Lonchura striata: one gene and its partners. The protein of the gene in region 1 binds, or shares a complex with, the protein of each later gene. Links are inferred from orthologs where the notes say so. Each region holds a gene or a part of one and is shown in the gene's direction. Other genes may lie near its edges. The genes, in order: CRHR2, UCN and GNA11.

Region 1 (7,542 bases):
TTTTTTTTTTTCCCAAAGCCTCTGTTTCTCCCCACCAGTGATGCAGAACTTGCCAGATGCCCACCTGCCCTGGAAACTGTGTTCAAACAGAGGATGGATTTTGTCAAGGAAATGTGGGATTCACTTTGATTTTGCTGAGTTGAGCTCTTTCACTAACTACATTTTCATTGTGAAGTTAGAAGCCTGTGTTTCCCTAAGATGAGCTTCTCTGCACACAAACTAGAATTTTGCTTTTAATTGGGCCACTGCTCTGAGCATTTCCATCCCAGAAGTTGGGGTGAGAACTCAGTCTCATTGTGGAGATGGAGTGAATTTATTTGCATTGCCTAATTGAAGAACTAAAAATTAAATGCAGTTTTCCCTTTTCTCTTGCACTCGAACTTTTTTTTTCGCTGAGTTCTGGGGCAAAGCTACTAAGCAGCAGCTTTTCTGTGTGCTAAAGACAGTTTTGCTGCAATTTTGATGTTGAAACAAGGTAGCATTTGCAGCCTCGGATATTTTAAAGAAATACATGGGAAAAGCTGGAGTCTTGAGAGCAGTGGAGGTTCCCAGAGATGAAGGGTAGGAAGAAGCATCCTCCTGACATAATCCACGCCAGGTGGTTTCTCAGGAGTGGAAAATGCTTTGTCTTTATAGAGAGCACAGTGAACAGTGCAGGGTGAGATTTTGTGTGGCAAAGAAGATGTGAGATGGACCCTCTTCTTGTCAGCTGTGGACTGAGCACATTTTGTGTTGATAACTCCAACATTTTTCCATGTTGGAAGGTCAATTCATCTTGCTCAGTAAAAGAAAGAGCACAGATGATTAAATAAAATTGTCATGTGCTCGTGTCTTCCTGCAGCCATCATCTCTAGGAATGTTTTGATCTCTCCTTTTGCATGTAGTCTAAAGAAAATTTAGGAAGGATGCATCTAAGTGACTCTGTCCTACAGTACATAAGACCCAGCTGATGCAGTCAGTGGAGGTCATTCCAATTTAAAGATTTAAAATACCGCAGATGAACTGCATCTGGAAAATTCCTGCTTCTCTTCCTGAATTCCAAAAGAATCCCTGTGTGACCAGCTCAGCTGCTGCTCTCTCTGTTTTGAAGTCTAAATCCCACTGCTTTTCTGGGAGTGGCTTTCTGCTGAGATGCTCTTGTCCTTCCATGGGATGGATTTCTCTGGGGCCTCGGGAGTACTAGAAACTACATTTTTTTAACAAACAGTTTTTGCTCTATTGCTTTGAGGCTGTGTCAGATGTCAGCACCTCTCAGCATGCCACCAGCAGATGTTTGACAGGGAGGCCTAACAACTGGCTTTTATTAGAGCCATGTGGCATCTGGGAATTCTTGTGTGAGGGTGGGAAAGGGGAGTGTGTGCATCTGTCCATCCACTGCCTCCAAACTCACCTCCGCCTTGGCAAGGGTGTTCCACTGTCATGGGTCATCCTTTTCCTCTTCAGTCCTTCCCTTCAGCTTGCATTCCTGCTAACTTCCCTCTGCTGCTGCCTACTGTGAGATATTTAAAATTACCAGATGCTCCATTGTGTCTCTGTGGTAGCCCCATGCTTGTGTTGACATTTTTGGATCCTATCCATAGATTTGGGGGCTGGTTTTTATTCTGAAGTCATTCCTTTATATTCCTGTAGCCATTTCTTCCATGTTTCAGAAGAGAAAACAACCTCTTCCATGAATTTTAAAGCACTGATGTTAATTTGGTTTTATATTTCTATATTGCTTCACAGAGGAACTCTGTATTTCGAGCCAGGACTCTTTGTTAATTCTTCTTTAAATGAAGTTACAAATCCTCTCTTACCTGGATGGAATAACCACAAATGCTGGTGGAAACTGAGAATAGGCAACTCTTGTGTCTCGTAGTTGATGTCCTCTGACAGAGATAAAGATCTTTCATGAATTAATGAAGAGCAGTGACCATGTCCAAGGGGAAAGATCCAACAAAATGCCCATGAGAGAGGCAGAGAGTGCCACACCAGAGTAACTCATCTTTTTCCCAAAATCCTCTCAGATGTGAACGGGAAGTCAACCAAAGGCTCTGTATTTTTTTTTTTTCTGAAGACTCAGAGCTGGCCTGCTCTTAGTTGGTGTCCCTGCTTTGGAAAGTAAAGGATTAATTTCCACCTCAGTCTTTGGCGCAGCACATTAGTTTTATTTGTTCATAAATGTCCACAGCGGCTCTGAGGAATTAAGTTGGACATTTCTGTGCATGATTTAGGTAAATTTTCAGGACAGAAAAGAAGTGATTTGGTGGACAGAGGTGATGGAATAGCTGTTTCAAGAGAAATGCAGTTTGAGAAAAGTCACGCATTAGTGACCCAAAGCGATTATTTCAGTACTTCAAAATATAATTTCTGCACAGTCATGGGCCCAATTATTTATCTTTACAATTCTATATTACTGAATTTTTTCTTGTTCTTTCTTTGTTTTTCCATTTTTTTATTATTGTAAGAGGAGTTTTTCAAGGCTGCCCTAAGAACAGAGGCTGGACAGAGCTAAAGAATAAAGCAGGGATTTATTCAAAGGATCTCCTCCATGGATCCACCTTGGGCAGCACCAGAGCCCAGCCAGGGCTGCACCCAAATGACCCAAAATGGTCCCAAAATGCACGAGCGCTCCCGGGGCTCTCCCTAGGATCAGTTCTGCTCCATTGGCACCTTGGAGTTCATTGTCCCATTCCAGCTCCAGCCCAGGCAGTCCCACCCTGCTTGTTTTTCTCTCTCCAGCCCACGGTGTTTGTGCTCCTGGGCTGAGGTTTGGATCATTTGTCCTTGGTGCCCAGCTGGAGCAGGAATTGTTTTGTGTCCCTGCTCTGTGCACAGAGCTCAGCATCCCCTGGTACGAAGCTCAGAACTGCACACTGAAGCAGAACAGAATCTGAAAAATATAAAAATATAAACCTGAGTCATAATTTGGGTTTATCTGCTTTAAATACAATTTTTAAAAGAAAAAAGTTTCACGCACAGCAAGGCTGTTGACTGTGGAGAGAAAATGAAACCAAAAGTAACATAATATGTGGAAAGCACTTTTCCCCCCAGCCAAATTAACCTGAGCTGAACCCTAAGGCAAATGTGACATTTAACCTTTCCTACTCCTGCCCAAGCTGTGCTGAGCTTGACCTCTGTCTGTGCTTTCCCATCGTCCTGGGGAGGGCACAGCTGAACACGCGGCGTATTTACAGTGCACGGGGATGGCTTGAGTTTCTTCTTTGAAGTGAGGCAGTGCTTTGGCCTGGGAGGTGGCAGAGGGGTGAGGGGTGGAAGGGAAGAAATGCCTCTGCTGTGTCAACATGCCTGGATCTGGCAGGAGACGTGGCCACTGCAGAGTCTGAGGTTTGGGAGCTCCGAGCCTCCGGAGGTGGAATCTGCACCTGGCTTTGTCTCCCTGACCTGACCGTGCATGGAGGTCCTGCCACGGGAGGCAGGAGTTCTGAGCCTCCCTGGGTGCTGGAATTTGAAATGCAGGGAATTCTCAGAACTTTGGGCCTGTAAGGCAAAGTTTAGGATTAAACACAAAATTTGATCTGAGACTTTAAACTTAGGTGCTACAAGTGAGAATGTAGTTAAAAGCAGAGGTATGTTAAGTAGAAGAAAGTTTAAAGTTTTAAAGTATGGAACTCTAAGTTTGTGTGTTATAACATGATTAATTTAAAAAGCTTACACTGGTATGAGTCTATAAAACAAAATACTTAAGAATTAGGTCAAAAATATAAATATCTTTGTTAGTACTGTTATGTTAGTTAATAAATCTTTAAAAGGTCTTGTAACTAGAAGTTTTGGGACTTTTTGAGTTATGTGGTGGAGATATGATCTGAACTCACCTTTCCTACCTATGTAAAAGATAAGAAAAATAAATCACATTATCTGAAACAACTTAGAAGTCATGTCTCTAACTAATTCAAAATTCTTCACACATCCTCACACGTGGAGGAGAAACAGCCCCTTCATGGAGTTGGTATGAAAAGAATGAAATCTGGGAAAGGTTTTCTGTTTGTACTTCAATGCTTCCTATTTTATAAAATAACAGCAAAGTGAGAACTAGGTAGAAAAAGGTGCTGTACAAAGAACAGTTGTTCTTTAGAGAGATTGCTGATGGATTCTATTGTCCTGAGCACTTACCGTCCTTTTTATTAAGTGAGAGAATTCAGTGACCTAAAAAATGGGTTCCTCAATCACTTAACACACCTTAGGGCACTGAAATATAGTATCAACCTTTAGAGTATGGTTGTTTCCCTGAGTAAAAGCTGCCTGAATTTTGTTGGAGTCATTCTGTGTAAACAGAAAAGCAAAGGCATTTTGTGTGTTACCATGGCTTTATATCCATCTCAGAAACAGTCAGAAAGATTTTGTTTCATAGTTTGAAAATTGGATTTTCTGTCATTGATCTGTCACTCCTGAATTTTCCTGTCACATTTCGTCCTACCTTTCTTAAAGGACTTTCCAAGAGCTTCCCTTGCTCCAAGCAGGATCCCAACTTGGCTCTATAGTTTGGTGTAGTCTTCTCTCCTCTGTCTGCACTGGGTGCTTTATTTTGAGTGTGAAAATTAAATATTCCCATTGATTTTCAACTCTATTCCCTAAATTTTACTTGGGGTTGTACTGCTACCTTGTACTGAACCTGCAGCTTTCTCAAAGTGCCCATGTTGGCATTTCTGCTCTTTCTCACTGTTATTTGCCCTCAGTGGAAGGCTCAGCCCTAAATGCTGAGGGTCAGAAACTTGTGTGTCTTCCATTGGCTAAAAAGAGCCACAAGACACCTTACAGGGATGCCAAATTATCCTATACATTCCATGGAAACACTTTATTCAAGCCCTCTGAACTGCCCTTTGCCAATTGCTGTATCTCTTGAATGTGCAAGGATCTTTGGCACCTACATATCAATTAAAAGTTCACTGAAAAAACTCAACACACAATCTTTAACTGAAAAAACTCAACACAATCTTTAATGGGATGTGATGATGTGATTCAGCTCTGCTGTTTCAGGCATCTACTTTCAGGTGATGAGACAAAGGGGATCCTGAGCTTTGTTAAAGGCACTGAGCAGCTCCCACAAGGAGAGATCCAGAATAGGTGCTTAATTTGCAGTTTCCTGCTTTAGTCAGGTGAATTCCATGTGATGCCCTGGAGCCGAGCAAGTACAACCACAAACCTTCTGTATCAGTGGGTGTCTGTGCCTGAATAAATCATGAATGGGAACTGCTCTGAGACTGCTGGGGCTTGTTGTACTCATGAAAGAGAAAATCTGTTCTAGGTTGCTGCTTTACCTGCTTGGTTTCTTTCTGTTTATCCAGATAGTTCTCCACTGTGAATCCTCTGTGAACCTGCCCTTGTCTGTTCTGCTGGAAAAGTACTGCGAAGCTTTGTCAGCCCGCACCAATGTCACAGGTATTTACTCCTCTGTTTCTTGGTGGCTTCTTGTTACTGGAGGATCCACTTTCAAAGTGCCCTTGCTCCAGGAACATCTTCTCCTGCTGAGATAAACATACTGTCTCCAGCTTGGCTTTTCCTTGGTGACAATGTGCAGTGATGTGACGAGGAAGGAGAACTTGGAATTTTGCACACCTGGAGAGAGCTTCAGAGGAACTGCTGACAGCCCTTTCTCAGAGCTTAATCAGTTGAATTAGCTGTACTTACTGACTGGTGTGGTAGTTGAAGATTAGTATAGTTGAATTAATTAGTATAGTTGAAGTGTCTTGTCCATTTATCCAGACCAGTTTATAGAAGCAGGGCAAAGCACTTGTCTCTTGGCTAAAATACGCCAGCACAAAAATGATGCTGTAAGAGATGTGAAACTGGATCCAGCTTTCTTTCAGAAGGGGGAGAAGCACACTCAGAGCCACCCTCCTCTGCAGCATGACTTGGGGGGGTGTGCTGCAATGAATGGTGCTTCTGGGGAAAAAACTAAATTTCTTCCCTTCCTCTTCACTTTCTTTTTCCCCCTGGTGAATATTCATGGAGGAAAAGAGCTTAAGATATAATGTAAGTGTTATCATTCAGCCAGGCGTCCATCCCTGGGAAACAGCAAAGGAAATGAGGCTCAGGGAATTAAAAATCTTTCTGTAAAATGTGTTGGATCAGTGGTGTTTTATTCTGACTTAATTCCTTCAGGACCATAGGTTGATCTGGATATCAGGCTGAAGTGTGAAAGTTGTGGTGCCTTAACTGCCTCTCAATTTGCATATAAATGGGTGTGTTGACCTGTATTATGAATCTGCCCCAAGCTCTGCCCCTTGGTGCCACTGTGTTCCAGGGAGCAGATTTGTTTATATCAGTTTAATGACCATCTATTCCATTCCTTAGCTGGAAACAAAGGAAAGATAAATGAGGTTCCATATTTGGACCCTTCTTTTAGGTGTTCTTTGCCTTTTGAATGTGTTTGTAAATATTGTTGTAAAACTTGCCATTTATTCATGAAGTGTTTTTCCTTGTGCAGAGCTTCTGTTTTAGAAAAAAACCCACAAATTTCATGCCAGGCTGTCTTAGAAGTCAGCAAACAATTTATTTTTCAGTTGTTGACAAAATATAATTTTCTGGACTGTTTATGTGATGCATGAACACACGGCATATTTTCCAGTGGAGTGTGGCTACTGGAACAGAATTTTAATGGGAAAAGGGAAGGGAGAAGCTTCAGAACCCTCTCTTCTATTCCACTATCTTTGTGAGGTATCACTGATCATAGGTAAAGCAATGCTCTGAAATTAATGGAAGTTGATATTTATAGTTGGTCTAACCTGCAGCTTTTTTAGAACAAACTTTCTATGATACTTTAAAATCCTGAGAACCTGTACTGTGCTTTGAGAGTGGATTTATAAATGTAATAAACCCTAAATATAGTAAAATATAGTAAACCTCAAATCTGCTCCATGGTGAGCCTCAGGTGTAAGTATGAAGTGAACTTTGGGACACCCTAGGGACAAAAATTAATGTTTTTTCTTAGCATGGACCAGTGTTCTTTTCTCAGGGTGGCTGGTCATCAACAAGAACATGGTGGTTCCCATGATTGATTTTTTTTGTGCTCCATGAAAACTGGATTTCCAAACAGTCTGGGCTATTCAGCTATGAAATGTCTCATTAAAAAAATGGAGGTCTCCAATATAATCACCACCTCTTCATGGTCAGTAGAGCTCTACTGGTACAGCTAAAGACCAAAGCATGATTTAATCCTAAATTAAAACCTAAAATGGAGCAGAAACTAAATGCTTTTTCATTATTGGGGTCCAAGGATAATGAGCTTCTGTAACTAAGTCTGCTCTAATATTTCAGTGTCCAAAATGAGGTGAGCTGTGTTGCAAGCCTCATTTTGAACCCTGGTAATGACAAGGATGTGTCACATGGGAACATTGGTGAGCTCCATTCAGCAGCGTGGATGGAGAGAACCAGACCACAGAGCCTGCAGTGTCTGAATATTTTCTCTGGCTCCTGTTCTTTGACACACTGCAGATATGTTTTAGAAGGGAAAAAGAAATCAAGAGAAGAAACCCAAGGAGAGCCATATTGAACAATCTTTATTTAGCTGGGAGAACAGTAAACATTAAGCTTTGTAATTAG
Region 2 (5,310 bases), on another chromosome or scaffold:
AGCGCAGGAAGGAGATCCCAGGGCGGGATCACATCACCTCTGCTTTTGTCAGGCTCTATGCAAGCTACAGCTGGGCATGGGGTGCTCCAAGGCACCCTAAGGGCACGCGTGAACAGATCGTGGGCACAGGCAGCACTCTGAGTGCTCCCATCCATCTTCCCCTGCTGCATCCTGACCAGCTCGTGCCATGGATCTGCCTTGCCTTCCCCAGGGAATCCTGCCGTGGTTGGTGATTCGTGTGAGCTGTGGCTCCTGGGAGCCCTGGCCTGGAAGGGGCTGATGGGCTGGGGATGGGCAGCAGTGCTGGCAGCACCTTCACCCCTGGCTTGGGGCGCATCCGCCTCTCCCCACGCAGAGGAAGCGTCAGCAGAGCATCCATCACCCCGCGCCCGCTCACCCCGTCCTGGGCTGCTGGCCAGCGCCAGGAGGAGCCCGGCCTCCTGGCTGAGTCACGGCCAAGCTGCAGGAGGGACTTGTCCTGCTGCCACGGGACAGGGATGCGACACGGCCGTGGCTGTGGCACGAGGACAAGGCGGCACCTTGGACTCCTGGAGCAGCTGCCCCAGCTCAGTGCCCCTCTCCGTTTCTGCCATGTGGTGCCCAGGAGGGGTCTGGGGGAGCACTGAGCTGGAAAGGGGCTCACAGCCCACACTGGGGGGCCAAGCCATGGGCCCATGTGCCCTGGCTATGGCACGAAGGGCTCTCAGTGGGGATGGTTCTGGTCACCCTCTCCCTGCCACCCTCATGGCTCTGGGAAGGCATGGGCAGGGCTGCAGGGGCTCCGTGCCCAGCAGTGTGGAGGACTCCAGTGTGGAGTTAGGGCACCAGCGGCAAGGATGGGGGCCCTGAGTGCTCACAGCTCCTTTTTCTTCCAGGACTACATGGATGCCCTGATGACCAATTACTGTGTGAGTGCTCGCACATCTGTGTCCCTGTCCCTGTCCGTTTCCTCCATGGGGCTGCCGTGGGCTCTGTGGGACACCCTGAGTGCCAGGCAGGGGTGGGTGTGGGACAGGGACCCTGGCAGGGCTCCTCACCGCTCCTCCTCTTCTCTGCCCAGATCTGGCCACCCGTGCAAATTGCGAACTTCTACTTCGTGCCTCTGCAGCACAGGTAGTGTTGCGGCCCTGGTGCCCAGTCCGTGCCCCCTGAGCCGGCAGCTGCAGACCCTGTTCCTCTGTCCCCAGGCTGGCTGTTGTCCAATGTGTTGCCATCGTCTGGAACTGCTACCTGTCCTGGAAAGCGAATCGGATGTGAGGCACAATCCGTGTCCTGTGCCTGTGCCCGGCCTGTGCGCTCCAGACCAGCACAACTCGGAGCCCTGGCCATGGGCACGCATGGCCGTGGGCAGGCTGGGATACACGGGGTCCTGCAGCAGCCATCCTGCGCTTTTCTCAGGGGAACACCATCCCCTATGGCCACGGCCTCCTGCCCCAAGGAGAAGATGGTGCCAGGACAGGCCTGGATCTGCTCCAGCCATGCTGTGCAGCGACTCTGCCCACGGTGCACTTCTCTCTCTGTGCTCAGCCATTTCCAAGCCCTGCACACGGGGTGCTCCTGTCCTGAGTGTCACTCTGACCTTCCCCACAGCACATCCCGAGGGAAAAGAGGAGTGGAAATGGAGCAGGGCTGGCCTGGGCTGGCTGTGCTGTGGGCGCAGAACTGGGCTCACTGCAGGCTGGGGATGCTTCCCCTGAAAACAGGGTTTGCTGTGGCTCTGCTGTGGACAGTCAAAGCATCAATAAACAGTTGTCTTCACTTTTGATTCCTGGGGCCCTGGGGCTTGTGGCCAGCATGCCCCCAGGCCCTGAAAGTGCTGTTCCAGGGCAACTGTCCTGTTAAGGATCAACAGGTCCACTCTACCTCATGTCAAGGCACTGAGCATGGGGCTAGGGGTTGCGGGCTGGGGTGGTCTGCCCCACCGGATAGAGAGGGGAGGGGACTCTGACAGAGGGTGGGTGGTGGTTTAGGGGTTCATCAGGTGCTACTGAAGCTGTTCCATGGGCTGTGATGGTCCTTCCGCAGCTGCAGAGCATTGGAATGAGGTCGATGGAGCCGAAGTCCTGATGCTGGGTGCAGAGTCCCCCCAGGGTCAGGGCTTGCTTGGTACAAGGCTGTGCATCTGGGGAGGGTCCAGAAAGGGTTGGGGGTAGGGCTGGAGCTGGATTTGGGCCAGGGCCACAATCCACCTGTGCCATGTCTGAGACAAGCCTGCCTGTCATGCCAGAGAGAAGCCCCGTGGAGCTGCCACTGCCTGTGCTGCTGCCCCTGGGGATGTGTGTCCACGCTCATCCTGCAGTGGCAGCGAGCACACAGTGTCGCACACTCACAGCGTCCAGCTCCCACAGTGTTCCTGCCCAGCACATCCCAACCAGGGGCTCCAAGTGGAGCTGGTGGCACCGTGGGGGTTCCTCCCATTTCTGTGGAGCCCTGGGCCCTGGCCCCCTCACCTGTGCTCCTGCAGCCCCACACAGCTGGACAGAGCCAGCGGGGCCCTGCCAGCATGGCCTTCATGGAGGGTGCTACCGTCTGTCCTCCACCCTCATCCTCCCCATGGTCTGGTTCTGTGCTGGCCCCAGCTTTGGGGCTGCTCCGGCCGGGTGGATACAACCTGGAATACAGAGGAGGCAAATCCTGCACAGTGCTGAGGGGTGAGGCAGGGGACTGGAGGGGCTGCAGCTGCAGCCCCCTTTCCCCCAGCAGTGCTCAATGGGGCAGCACAGGGCTGGGGCCAGGTGATGGGGCCATGCACGGATGGCACCAGTACTTGGGGGGTTCTGTGTGGGGCTCAAGTCCTCTACAGCCAGTGGGGTGGGTGCTGTGGGTGGCAGGAATTTGCAGCTCTGAGGTGTTGAGCCTCTTGCAGCTCCCTCTGGGGGTGCTGGAGGCTCTCTCTGTCAGCAATGAGAGCTGCGAGCATGGCAAGAGCCACGTGGAATGAGCCACTTGTCCCCAGGAGCAGCCGCCCCAGCATGGGGCTGCCAGGGCTCGGGGGGCTGAGCCCAGCCCCTGCTGAGGGCTCTGCCCTGCCGCTGCAGGAGGCGGTGCCCGGTGCCAGCCTTCATGCCGGATCACGTCATGGGGGCACGACACCGTGTGCTGCTCGCTGCGGGCAGGGCCGTGCCCCGCCGCCCCTGTGCCACCCGGGGTGGGACACACCGTGCGAGGGGCCGGGCTGAGCCCCTGTGCCCGGCTGTGCCCCGCACCGGCACTGCCCCGCTGCTCTGCCCCTGTAGCAGCGTCGGCGCTGGGTGTCAGCTCGGCTACGCTCGGCCGGCAGCCGCAGGACGCTCGGGGGCTGCCGGCAGCGGTGGGGAGCGCTCGGGGGGATGCCGGCAGTAGTGTGGAGCCCCAGCAGCCACCTCACCATTTGGCAGCGGTGCCGGTGCCCCGACGGAACACCCTGAATCCAGCACGGCGCTGCCAGCTCCGGTGCCTTCATTCTATGACTCACAGGACTTGGCCGATGCCGCCGCTGCGCTCGGGGCGTCTGCGGCCTCGGCCCCGCGGTTCGACCTCGGCACCGCCCGCTCCGCCCGGGACGCTGAGCCACGGCCAGGCTGGGGGTCCCACCCGTGACCGCCCCGTCCCGGAGCTGCCGGTGCTTGGGGTATCCCCACCTCCGCCCAGGAGTCCCTCCCGCCCCGATCGCTGCTTGGACGCCGCTGCTCGACGCGGCCGTTCCGCCCGGGAACGCAAGGGCTCCACGCCGAGAAGCCGCGGCTAGCCCCGTACAGCTCACTGAGGGCTCACCGGGAGCTCACCTGTACAGCCCACCGGCCCCGGTGCCCCAGCGCGTCCCGGCCGTTCAGCACCGCGGACAGCGGCGGAGAATGAGGCCGGAGATGCGGCAGAGCCGGGAGAGGGAACGGGGCGACCGGGAAACCGGGGGACAGGGGAAGCGAGGGTTAGCACGGCCCAAGGCACCTGCTCTCACCGGCCCCGGCCCCGCCGTGCCTCTCTGGTGGGCGTCAGAAAAGAATCGGAGAGGTGGCTCCCGAAACCGGCGAGAGCGGGCTCTGCCTCTCCGCCCCTCCGTCCCTCAAGCCCGTCCCGCCGCCGGGTGCCCGCTCCCCGCCGCTCCGGTGCCCCCTCTCCCCCGCCCCCGCCGCCCGGTGCGTGCCCGGCGCTGACGTCAGCCCGGGCTCCCGGGCCGATATAACCCCCGGCCGCGCCGCCGGCTCAGCTCCCGCGGGACGGATCGCTCGCCGCGCCGCCAGCACCGGCAGGAACAGGGCACGGGCACAGCGCACCGGGTACGGGACGGGGCTTGGGGACCGGGCAGGGACGGCACCGGGGCCGGGGCGCGCAGAGGGGGCGGAACGGGGCGGGAGGGGGCTCCGCGCCCGGGACCGTCCCCGCGCCGCCGGGGCCGCGGTTCCCGTCGGGCCTCCGCCGCCGCCCCAGTCTCTGCTGCGGCGCTAAGCCCCTGCCCCGTAGGTGCAGAAGGAGCGAGGATGCGGCGGGCACTGCTCACCCTCCTGCTGCTGCTCGCCCGCCCGCCGCCCGCCGCCGCCCGCCCCGCCACCACCGACGGCTCCATCCCGGCGGCCGGGACCGGGGCTCAGGACCAGCCGCTCTGGCCGCCGCTGGCGCCGCCGCCCCCGGGGCCGTGGCGAGGGCGGCGGGACGAGCCGCCGCTCTCCATCGACCTCACGTTCCACCTCCTGCGGCACCTCTTGCTGCTCGCCCGCGCCCAGAGCCAGCGCGCCCGCGCCGATTCCAATCGCCGCATCCTCGACGCCGTGGGGCGCTGAACCCCAGACCCCGGCATCCCCGGACACCCCGAACCCCCCATGACCCCGGGCTGCACCGGCCTCCAGCCACCCTGGCCCCTGCACTGTGCGGCGCTCGGCACCAACACCGGCACGGGCTGAGCCCGCCTCAGCCCCAGCGCTGCGGCGAGCGGGAGCGGAACCGGCCCGGCACCGGTCCGCACCGATTTTGTAATAAAACGTGGTGGAAACCCGAGGCGTGAGCGAGTGAGGGGTGGGGGCAGCTGGGGCTGTGCAGGACCAGGGACTGGGCAAACTGGGAATGTGCTCACTGGAAATGGGGAATGGGGAAAGAGGCTCAGTGGGAACAGGGAAAGAGGCTCAGTGGGAGCAAGGTAATGGGCTCATCAGGAATGGGGAATGGGTTTATGAGGAATGAAGAGGGGGCTCACCAGGGATGGGGAAACAACTCATTGGGAGTGGTGGAATGGGTTTACCAGGAAGGGACAAACAGACTCACTGGGAATAGGGAAAGGGCTCACTGGAAAGGGACTAAGGGCTCAGAAGTGGGAGACAGCATGAGCTGGGTCAGGGC
Region 3 (7,150 bases), on another chromosome or scaffold:
GGTAAAACATTCCTACCCTCTTTGATCCCGTTTTATCAGTGACTTGGAATAATTGGGCTCCATCCCTCGTGGTGACTGCCCCCCACCCCTCCCTTCTGCTGTGGCCTGTGTTTTTGCTGCAGACTGATTAGGGGTAATTATCATCCTTTTTACCAGCCAAAGTGCAAGGAGCAGTTCACACTCCTTGCAGGAAGCAGGAAAGGGATTTTGCAGCTGAGCCGTGATTAGGAAGCACATGGCAAGGATGCCTGAAGCTGCTTGCTCCCTGGGTGGTGTCCCTGAGGCATTTGGTGGGAGATAAGCAGGAAATTTGGAGCTGTGAGACAGTCAGGAGGTCCAGGGGAATCCACTGACCCTTTGGTCATGAGAAGCCTCCCAGCACAATCAGTTTGCAGAAGCAGCAGTGTGAATCCCAGACTGAGCTGAAGGGAGTGACCCACAGGGGCTGGAATGGCCAAAGGAGCAGCTTCGTGAGCACCCAGGTGTGCTGTGGGCATGGCCAGGGCTCAGCACTCTCCCCTCTCTCCTCTGCCTCCCTTGCTGGACGAAGGGAGGAGCCAGATACCGATTTTAGGGTCAAAAGGATCACCCAGGCTCCTGTGAGGCAGATTCCTCCTGCTCCTGTGCACCAAATGCACATTTGCAGCAGTTTCTGAGATTTGCACAGGGAAGAGAGATTACTACACCCTTAAGAGACTTTCTGTACTCGGCTAGTTCAGCAGCACTCCTCCAGGTAGGGAGAACATTTCTTCCTGACCTCAATTTATGACAAACACTGAAGCATGAGGCTGGATTGATTGCACAAGGAGATTGTGTCTTAGTAACTTGTGTGAATGCTGCAGCAGCTATGCTAATTCATCATTCCTCTATTTATGAAATCTGTGTGCAGGTTGAGTGCAATTAAATGATGTGTTTTGGGATCGTAGGGGATGAAAGGATCACAGAAAATGTAGGTTTGTTATCCTAGTTTACTGTGCACTGAACCCACCTACAACACCATGACAAACCAGATGTGAAACATAAGGTTTAAAAAAACTAATCCAGCAATTGCTGTCACGGGCTGCATTTGTCAGCTTTGTTTGATCTCAGTGCCTTTCCTCCTCTCTGTTCAGAGAACTCAAATCTTGTGGCATCTTCCTGTGACAGGCAATTGAAGAACTTGTAAAATTAATTTTGGGGGAGGATGAAACATTTGACACGTGCTCTGCAGCTGGGTCCCTGGTCCCCATCAGCACCCAGAGAGAGTCCAGACAAATTCTTCCTTTGAATATCACAAGAGAAGGAGGCTCTGCAACCACTCTGGGCAACCTGTGCTGTGTCAGCAGCACAGGAAAGTTCTTCCTCATGTTCAAGGTGGAACTTGCTGTGCATCAGTTTCTGCTCATTGTCCTGTTGCTCAGCAGCTGAGCAGAAACTGCTCCATCCCCTGGCAGTTCCCTTCAGGTATTTATGGATATTGGAAAAATCCCCTCTTGGTCTTCTCCAGGCTGAGCACACCCAGCTCCCTCAGCCTGGCCAGGATCACCTCCCTGACCTGCTGGCAGTGCCTGCTCCCCTCTGGAACTCACAAACAGCTAAGAAATGGGGCCAGAATGGAGAAAAGAGATGTCACTGTGCAATGTCTGCAGTGCTGCCCACACTATGTGTCTGCATCTCCAGGGGCTTCAGGATCCCATTTCCATGGGCTCTTCCCCTCTGTAAACAAATGGGGCTGATCCCTGGGCTCAGCAGGAGCTGCTGCAAATGTGGGCCATGGGAGCAGTTGCTCTGGAAGTGGCCTGACACGTTCAGGATCAGCTTTCTGCAGGAGCAAGGACATGGAGCCTGGGGAATTGCACAGCACACTGGTGGCAGAGCTGAGGGAAATTCCAGGTCTCCTGGGAGCCCTCTGAGCACCAAAACTTTTCCATTAGGGCAGAAAGAGAGGGAGTGGATGGGCTCTTGTTGCTTGGAGAATGGCAGTTCTGTCATTCTTAAATCACACTTTGATCAGGACTCATCAAAACTCAATGTCTGTGGACCCAAACTTCCCATCAGCAGGAACCAAGGAAGTGGTCCAGAGCTGAGATGCAAATTTTATTGTTCCTTTTCTTTTGGAAAGCTGTGGAAATTTCTTCAGGATCTGCTGGCCTTTAGATTTTGATCCTGCCCAAGAGATGGCAACCAAAACAATAGCTTCCAACACACAGCACCTCGTGGTCCAGAGCAGCCCAGCAATCCCAACCTGGGAACTCTTTAGCAGCCCCAGAGTGTCACCTGTGTCACCCTCACAGCCTGAGGACATGCAGAGGGCTCAGGTGGCTTGCCCAGTCAGGGCAGTGCTGCAGGGTTTTGTAGGAACTTCAGTCTCCTTAAGGACTGTCCAGGAGTTCCAAAGGGCAACAGGTCACAGTGGGAACAGCCACTGTGGCTTGGGTTTTGGTTGTGCTGAGCACTTCTGGTTGCTGAATAATTTTCAGCTGCCAAAGCAAAATGACCACATGGCCTTTGCCAGAGGTGTGTGATGAGTCCTCCTGGCTGTGGGGTACCTGGGAGGGAAAGTAAGAGAATGTAACAGAGGGAGGTCAGCATTGATGCTGTTAAAGGCCAAACTATGAAAAAAAAGAAGTTAGAAACTTATTTTAATTGAGGCAAATAACTCATGGGAATAGCACAGGTATAGGGGAGAAGTTAAGTGGAAAATAGAACCTGTTTGTGAGTATCTTGTGTTTCTGCCTCAGTCAAATTGCCAAGAGATAAGGACTGGCAGACCACTGCAAGAGCCAGGAAGGCAGGTAAGGAACGGCTTCATGGTGCTTTTTTTTTGGACCTTCAAAAAGACTGTTTAGATACAGACCCCAGGCAAGGCAGGGTAAGAGATGCAACCACAGGTGCATGTAAGAGGGGTGTGTGTGTGTGTGTGTGGAGAGTCCAGGTGGCAGGGATTCTGCTTGGGGCAGGGTCCCACAGGGCACAGGGGGGCTGCTCTGACAGATGAGGCTGCACTGGCAGCACAAGGGGCGGCATGAGGGGATGGATGCTCTGACAGATGAGGCTGCACTGGCAGCACAAGAAGGAGCCCAAGGTGTGGCGTGAGGGGATGGAGGCATCGGGCTGCTGGCTGGAGGACCTGTCCCAGGTCAGCAGGCACCTGGTAGGAAGCAGTGAGGGAAGCTGGGATAAAGGCAGCTCTGAGCCGCCCTGTGAGGAGCGATGGGGAGCTCGGGAGGGCTGGGAGGCGGCAGCCCCAGCTCGGGTGGCTGTGCTGGGACACGGCCGCAGCCTGGAGCACAGGGCCGGCCCGGCGAGGCCTCAGCCTGCCCCTGCTCGGCCCGAGGGCCGGGCTGGCGGGGCCTGCGAGCAGAGCCGCGCCCGTCCCACACAGGTCGGGCCCGGCCCGCTCCGGGCTCCCGCCGGGGCTGCGAGCGGTGCGGGACGAGCCGCAACCTCCGCGGCCCGGGCCCGCCCTGTGCCGCCATCCCAGCGGCCGCCAGGGCCCTCCCCGCCCGGCGCGGCCCAACCGCGGGCCGGCAGAGGGCGAGGGGAGGCGGCGGCCCCGCGCCCGGTCACGGCAGGGGCAGGGCCCGGGCCCGGCCCGCCATGGGCGCCCGGTCCGCCACCTTCCCACAATGCTCGGCGGCCCCGCCCCGCTCCAGGAACGCGCGTCCGTGCGCCCTCCCCCCCCCCCGCGCCCGGCCAGCCAAACCCTGCGCTCCCATTGGCCGCGGCGCCGCGTCCCGCCCGTCCGGGCCCGCCCCGCTGCGCGCCGCGCTCTCCCATTGGCCGCCGCCGCCGTCAGTCCGCGCTTGTTTTCGGCGGCAGCGGGTTGGGTTGCGCCGGCTCGTCGGTGTCTCGGCGGAGCCGTGCGGAGGGAGCGGCGGCGCAGCCGGGCGAGAGCGGCGCGGGGGCGGCGGCGGCGGCGCTGGCGCTGGGCCCGGCCGCAGCACTCGGGGCCGGGGCGAGGCCGGGCCGGGCCGGCGCCGCGCAGGGCGGGAGGGTGGGGAGGGAAGGGGGCGCGGGACGCGGGACCGGGCCGGGCCGGGCTCCCGGCCGTGCGGAGAACGGTGGTCGGTGCCGGGGGGGTGGGGGGGTGGGCGGGGGCGTCCCGGCCGCGACGCGACCATGACTCTGGAGTCCATGATGGCCTGTTGCCTGAGCGACGAGGTGAAGGAGTCGAAGCGCATCAACGCCGAGATCGAGAAGCAGCTGCGGAGGGACAAGCGCGACGCGCGCCGCGAGCTGAAGCTGCTGCTGCTGGGTGAGGAGCGCGCCGCCGCTCCGGCCGCGGGGCCCGGCCCGGCGCTCCGCGGGTCCGGCGGCCGGGCCGGGCGGGGAGCGGGTGTGGCGGGGAAGCGGCGGGAGCCATCCCCGCCTGAGCCCGGCGCTCGCGGCCGCTCCCGAGCCGTGCGGGGCGGCCGCCTCATTGGCTGCCCTTTGTTTGATTTTGTGATGCGTTCGCTGTCAAAATGGGTTTTGACACAACCAGGAACTAAGTGGCTGAAATTCCTGGTGGGGAAGGCGGGCACGCACGGGGGCGCGTGAAATTTGTGTGGAGGAAACGATTCTCGGGGAGTGTGCTGGCCTGGGTTAGCGTGTGGCAATCCGCTGGTGGAGTTGGTGCTTTTCAGGATTGTCGGTGGACGTGTGTGGAAAAACGGGCCTGCAGCTCCTGAAGCACGGAGTTTCCCCTGGGGCAGGAGCTGGAGAGGCAGCGGGGCTGGGAGCGCGGCGTGCTGGCTCTGGAGGGGGACGAGGCAGTGGAATGCGGAGTTGTGCGCTGGCTGAGGAGATGCCCGCGCTGTTCAGAGGTGCAGATCACCTGTGCAGCCCAGGAATCTAGGTCTCCGGGTGGGAACAGGAGTGTTCCCTGTGCTGATGGGTAACTGTGCCGTGTTCAGATGAGTTTACAGGGATGGGAAATCGGCTGCAAACTGAGACTCGCAGGCATGTGCCTCCTCCTTCAGCAGTGAGTTTGATGTTCTTCCCTAGATAGCCCCCAAATTTAAACTTCAGTTTCGGTTTTCATGCATGCTGTGATTTAGCACCGCTTGTGTGTCAGATAGATCCTGCTTTGTGTCTTGAATACTGTATTATCTTGAGATGAAATCCTGATGGATCTGTTGACAAGTCATTAAGGTCCAGATGAAGAAGGAGGCTAACCCTTGTTTAAAAAATAACAAACTATTTGCAGAAGTGGGGAGAGGCTGTGTGTGCCCAGCCCCTTGGAGGCTCCAGTACCCCCACTGGTGCCAAGTAAACCCCAGGGCTTTCCTTCTCACCCTGAATCCTTCACAATTAATGGATTGCTGTTCTTTGTGTGAAAGCTAAAATCGAGGGCTTCACATTTCTGCTCTTTGGAGATGCTGTGGCAGTTTCTGTGAGGCTTCCTGGAGAGGAGGGAAGGTGTCCCTCACTCTCATGCTTCCCTAAAAGCAGTCCCACAGAAGCAGCTGTGTCAAAATAGGTTGTCGCTATAGGATAGATCTGGGTTAAGAAGATCCCACTGGATCTAAATATTTCACTTTAGAAATAATTCAAATTGCTCAAGAATCCTTTCTGCTTTTCTAAAAGATACAGATTCAGCATTAGACTAAAAAAAAGCATATAGAAGGTGGTTATTGTTGGATAAGCAACACTCCTAGGTGTAGACAATTTTTGCAGGATGCTTGTCACTGGACACAGCACGTTGCCCACCTTCAGCTGGCACAGGTGACCTGTGTTCTCTCTCCCTGCTTGCAGGGATTTCTTCCGTGTTGCTCCTGTTCTATGGAGTTCTTATATTCACAAGTATTAATGATTGACTTAGTGAGAGGGCTTTCCCAAAATCTCCAAAATTTTGAGTGTGAGGAGGGAGTTTCCACCTTGTAGAAACGGTTAAATTTTTCCTGTCACTACATCTGGTGACAGTTACTTTGTTGAAGCCTTAACCAGAAAATTGAGGTGAGGAATAACAGTGCTAATCAATGATGAACCTGTTAATAAGAAATTCAAGGTGTTGGACATTGCCATCTGGTACAAGGTAGTAATTTGTCTTTTTACTGGATGGGGAGGATATTTTGTACAAAATTACTTGTGATTAAGCATGGGTTACTGTTGACTGAGCAGTGTATTTACTAGGGGATCATTAGGAAGTTATTGTAAACTCCGCTGCTTTCACGAGTTGGCAGATGAAGTGGTGAATTCAGATTATCTCCTATCATATTAAAAAAGGATTTTGCGCCCTGAGAGTTGTAGATCTTGCCCACCAGAGCTCGTAACCTGCTGGTGTAGTACTGTGCCTCAGGGAAAGCAAAAGACAACTTAGAAAATCCCAAAACCAAACCAAGAACCCACCACCAATAACCAAAACCAACCCTCAAACCAAAAAAGGGCAGTGATGATGGAGTGATAGGAAGAATCTGTGTTTGAACTCTTAAATCCTGAAGCAAGCCAAGGTCTGGTGCTGAGGTTTCTCTTACATTTTCATTGTTGAAATGCTTTGAAGCACCGCCTTTTTTTTTTTTTTTTTTCTCAGTTTTGGTCACTGTGGTAAAAGACAAGGAAGTATTTCTCACCACACTGACAGAAACCACAAAAGATCTCAGTTTCCAGTTTTTTCCCCACTTAGGGTGCACCTTTGTGTTCAAGATGGAGATAGTTTGCTGCATATTGATAATGTCTACAGTGTTAATTTCTGGCTGTGCTGACGTGATTTCTGTCAGTTCTTCCTGTTCATTTCGAGCATTCTGCTTCTAGTTAGGTGCTTGTTGCTTTTATCTGAGCATTTTTATTTGTTTGCCTTTTAGCCTACCAAGATAAAATGAGTAACTGAGTAGCTACATGCGAGTATTAATTGTGTACTGGGATGAATGAAATCCTGTCTGAATCCATCTCTCCCCTGGTGTGAGGAGGATCTGGTGGTGCCTGTGGAGAGAGCCAGGGCTCTGCCAACATTTTAACTCCAGGTCAAAAGGATTTGTATCACTGACATGATATATTTTGAGTTTTTGGTCTCTCTAGTCAGGTGAGCTGGGCCACTGTGCTAGAGAGGTGTGAGTTTTTTATCAATATCCTGCATAATGATAGCAAATTTTAGAAGATTGAACAAAAGCACTCCACAGAGGTGTAGTGCTGTCCATTTAGGCTGCTGAAATGTGGAGGTGAGCTCATCCCAGGTGAGACCTGGCCTGGG

What was found.
Region 2: the proteins of CRHR2 (region 1) and UCN are in contact, whole or in part, in a cryo-EM structure (PDB 7TS0), measured with the Homo sapiens proteins. The link is inferred for Lonchura striata from reciprocal best matches to the Homo sapiens genes CRHR2 and UCN. Residues at the interface, in NP_001874.2 of Homo sapiens: Phe68, Asn69, Gly70, Val71, Tyr73, Ile101, Leu102, Asp103, Asp104, Arg107, Asp110, Tyr113, Leu117, Asn120, Trp166, Leu169, Gln170, Val172, Asp173, His174, His177, Glu178, Thr188, Phe191, Asn192, Phe199, Phe256, Gly257, Lys258, Asp265; in NP_003344.1 of Homo sapiens: Asn84, Pro85, Ser86, Leu87, Ser88, Ile89, Asp90, Leu91, Thr92, Phe93, His94, Leu95, Leu96, Arg97, Thr98, Leu99, Leu100, Leu102, Arg104, Thr105, Ser107, Gln108, Arg111, Ala112, Asn115, Phe119.
Region 3: the proteins of CRHR2 (region 1) and GNA11 are in contact, whole or in part, in a cryo-EM structure (PDB 7TRY), measured with the Homo sapiens proteins. The link is inferred for Lonchura striata from reciprocal best matches to the Homo sapiens genes CRHR2 and GNA11. Residues at the interface, in NP_001874.2 of Homo sapiens: Arg148, Tyr208, Leu209, Ala212, Ile213, Thr216, Glu220, Lys293, Lys307, Ala311, Phe358, Tyr359, Phe362, Asn363; in NP_002058.2 of Homo sapiens: Arg37, Ile348, Leu349, Asn352, Leu353, Glu355, Tyr356, Asn357, Leu358.

The regions. Positions count from the first base shown.
Region 1 is NC_134603.1:153,230,311-153,237,852, reverse strand, and holds the start of CRHR2 (corticotropin-releasing factor receptor 2), read left to right. Parts: upstream 1-4,528; 5' UTR 4,529-5,183; coding exon 5,184-5,379; intron 5,380-7,542. UniProt on the Homo sapiens protein: G-protein coupled receptor for CRH (corticotropin-releasing factor), UCN (urocortin), UCN2 and UCN3. Has high affinity for UCN.
Region 2 is NC_134605.1:113,707,909-113,713,218, forward strand, and holds UCN (urocortin), read left to right. Parts: upstream 1-4,457; coding exon 4,458-4,757; downstream 4,758-5,310. Other genes in the region: mitochondrial inner membrane protein Mpv17, read left to right, coding at 876-908, 1,061-1,113, 1,188-1,257. UniProt on the Homo sapiens protein: Acts in vitro to stimulate the secretion of adrenocorticotropic hormone (ACTH). Binds with high affinity to CRF receptor types 1, 2-alpha, and 2-beta. Plays a role in the establishment of normal hearing thresholds.
Region 3 is NC_134630.1:4,151,242-4,158,391, reverse strand, and holds the start of GNA11 (guanine nucleotide-binding protein subunit alpha-11), read left to right. Parts: upstream 1-4,072; 5' UTR 4,073-4,101; coding exon 4,102-4,237; intron 4,238-7,150. UniProt on the Homo sapiens protein: Guanine nucleotide-binding proteins (G proteins) function as transducers downstream of G protein-coupled receptors (GPCRs) in numerous signaling cascades.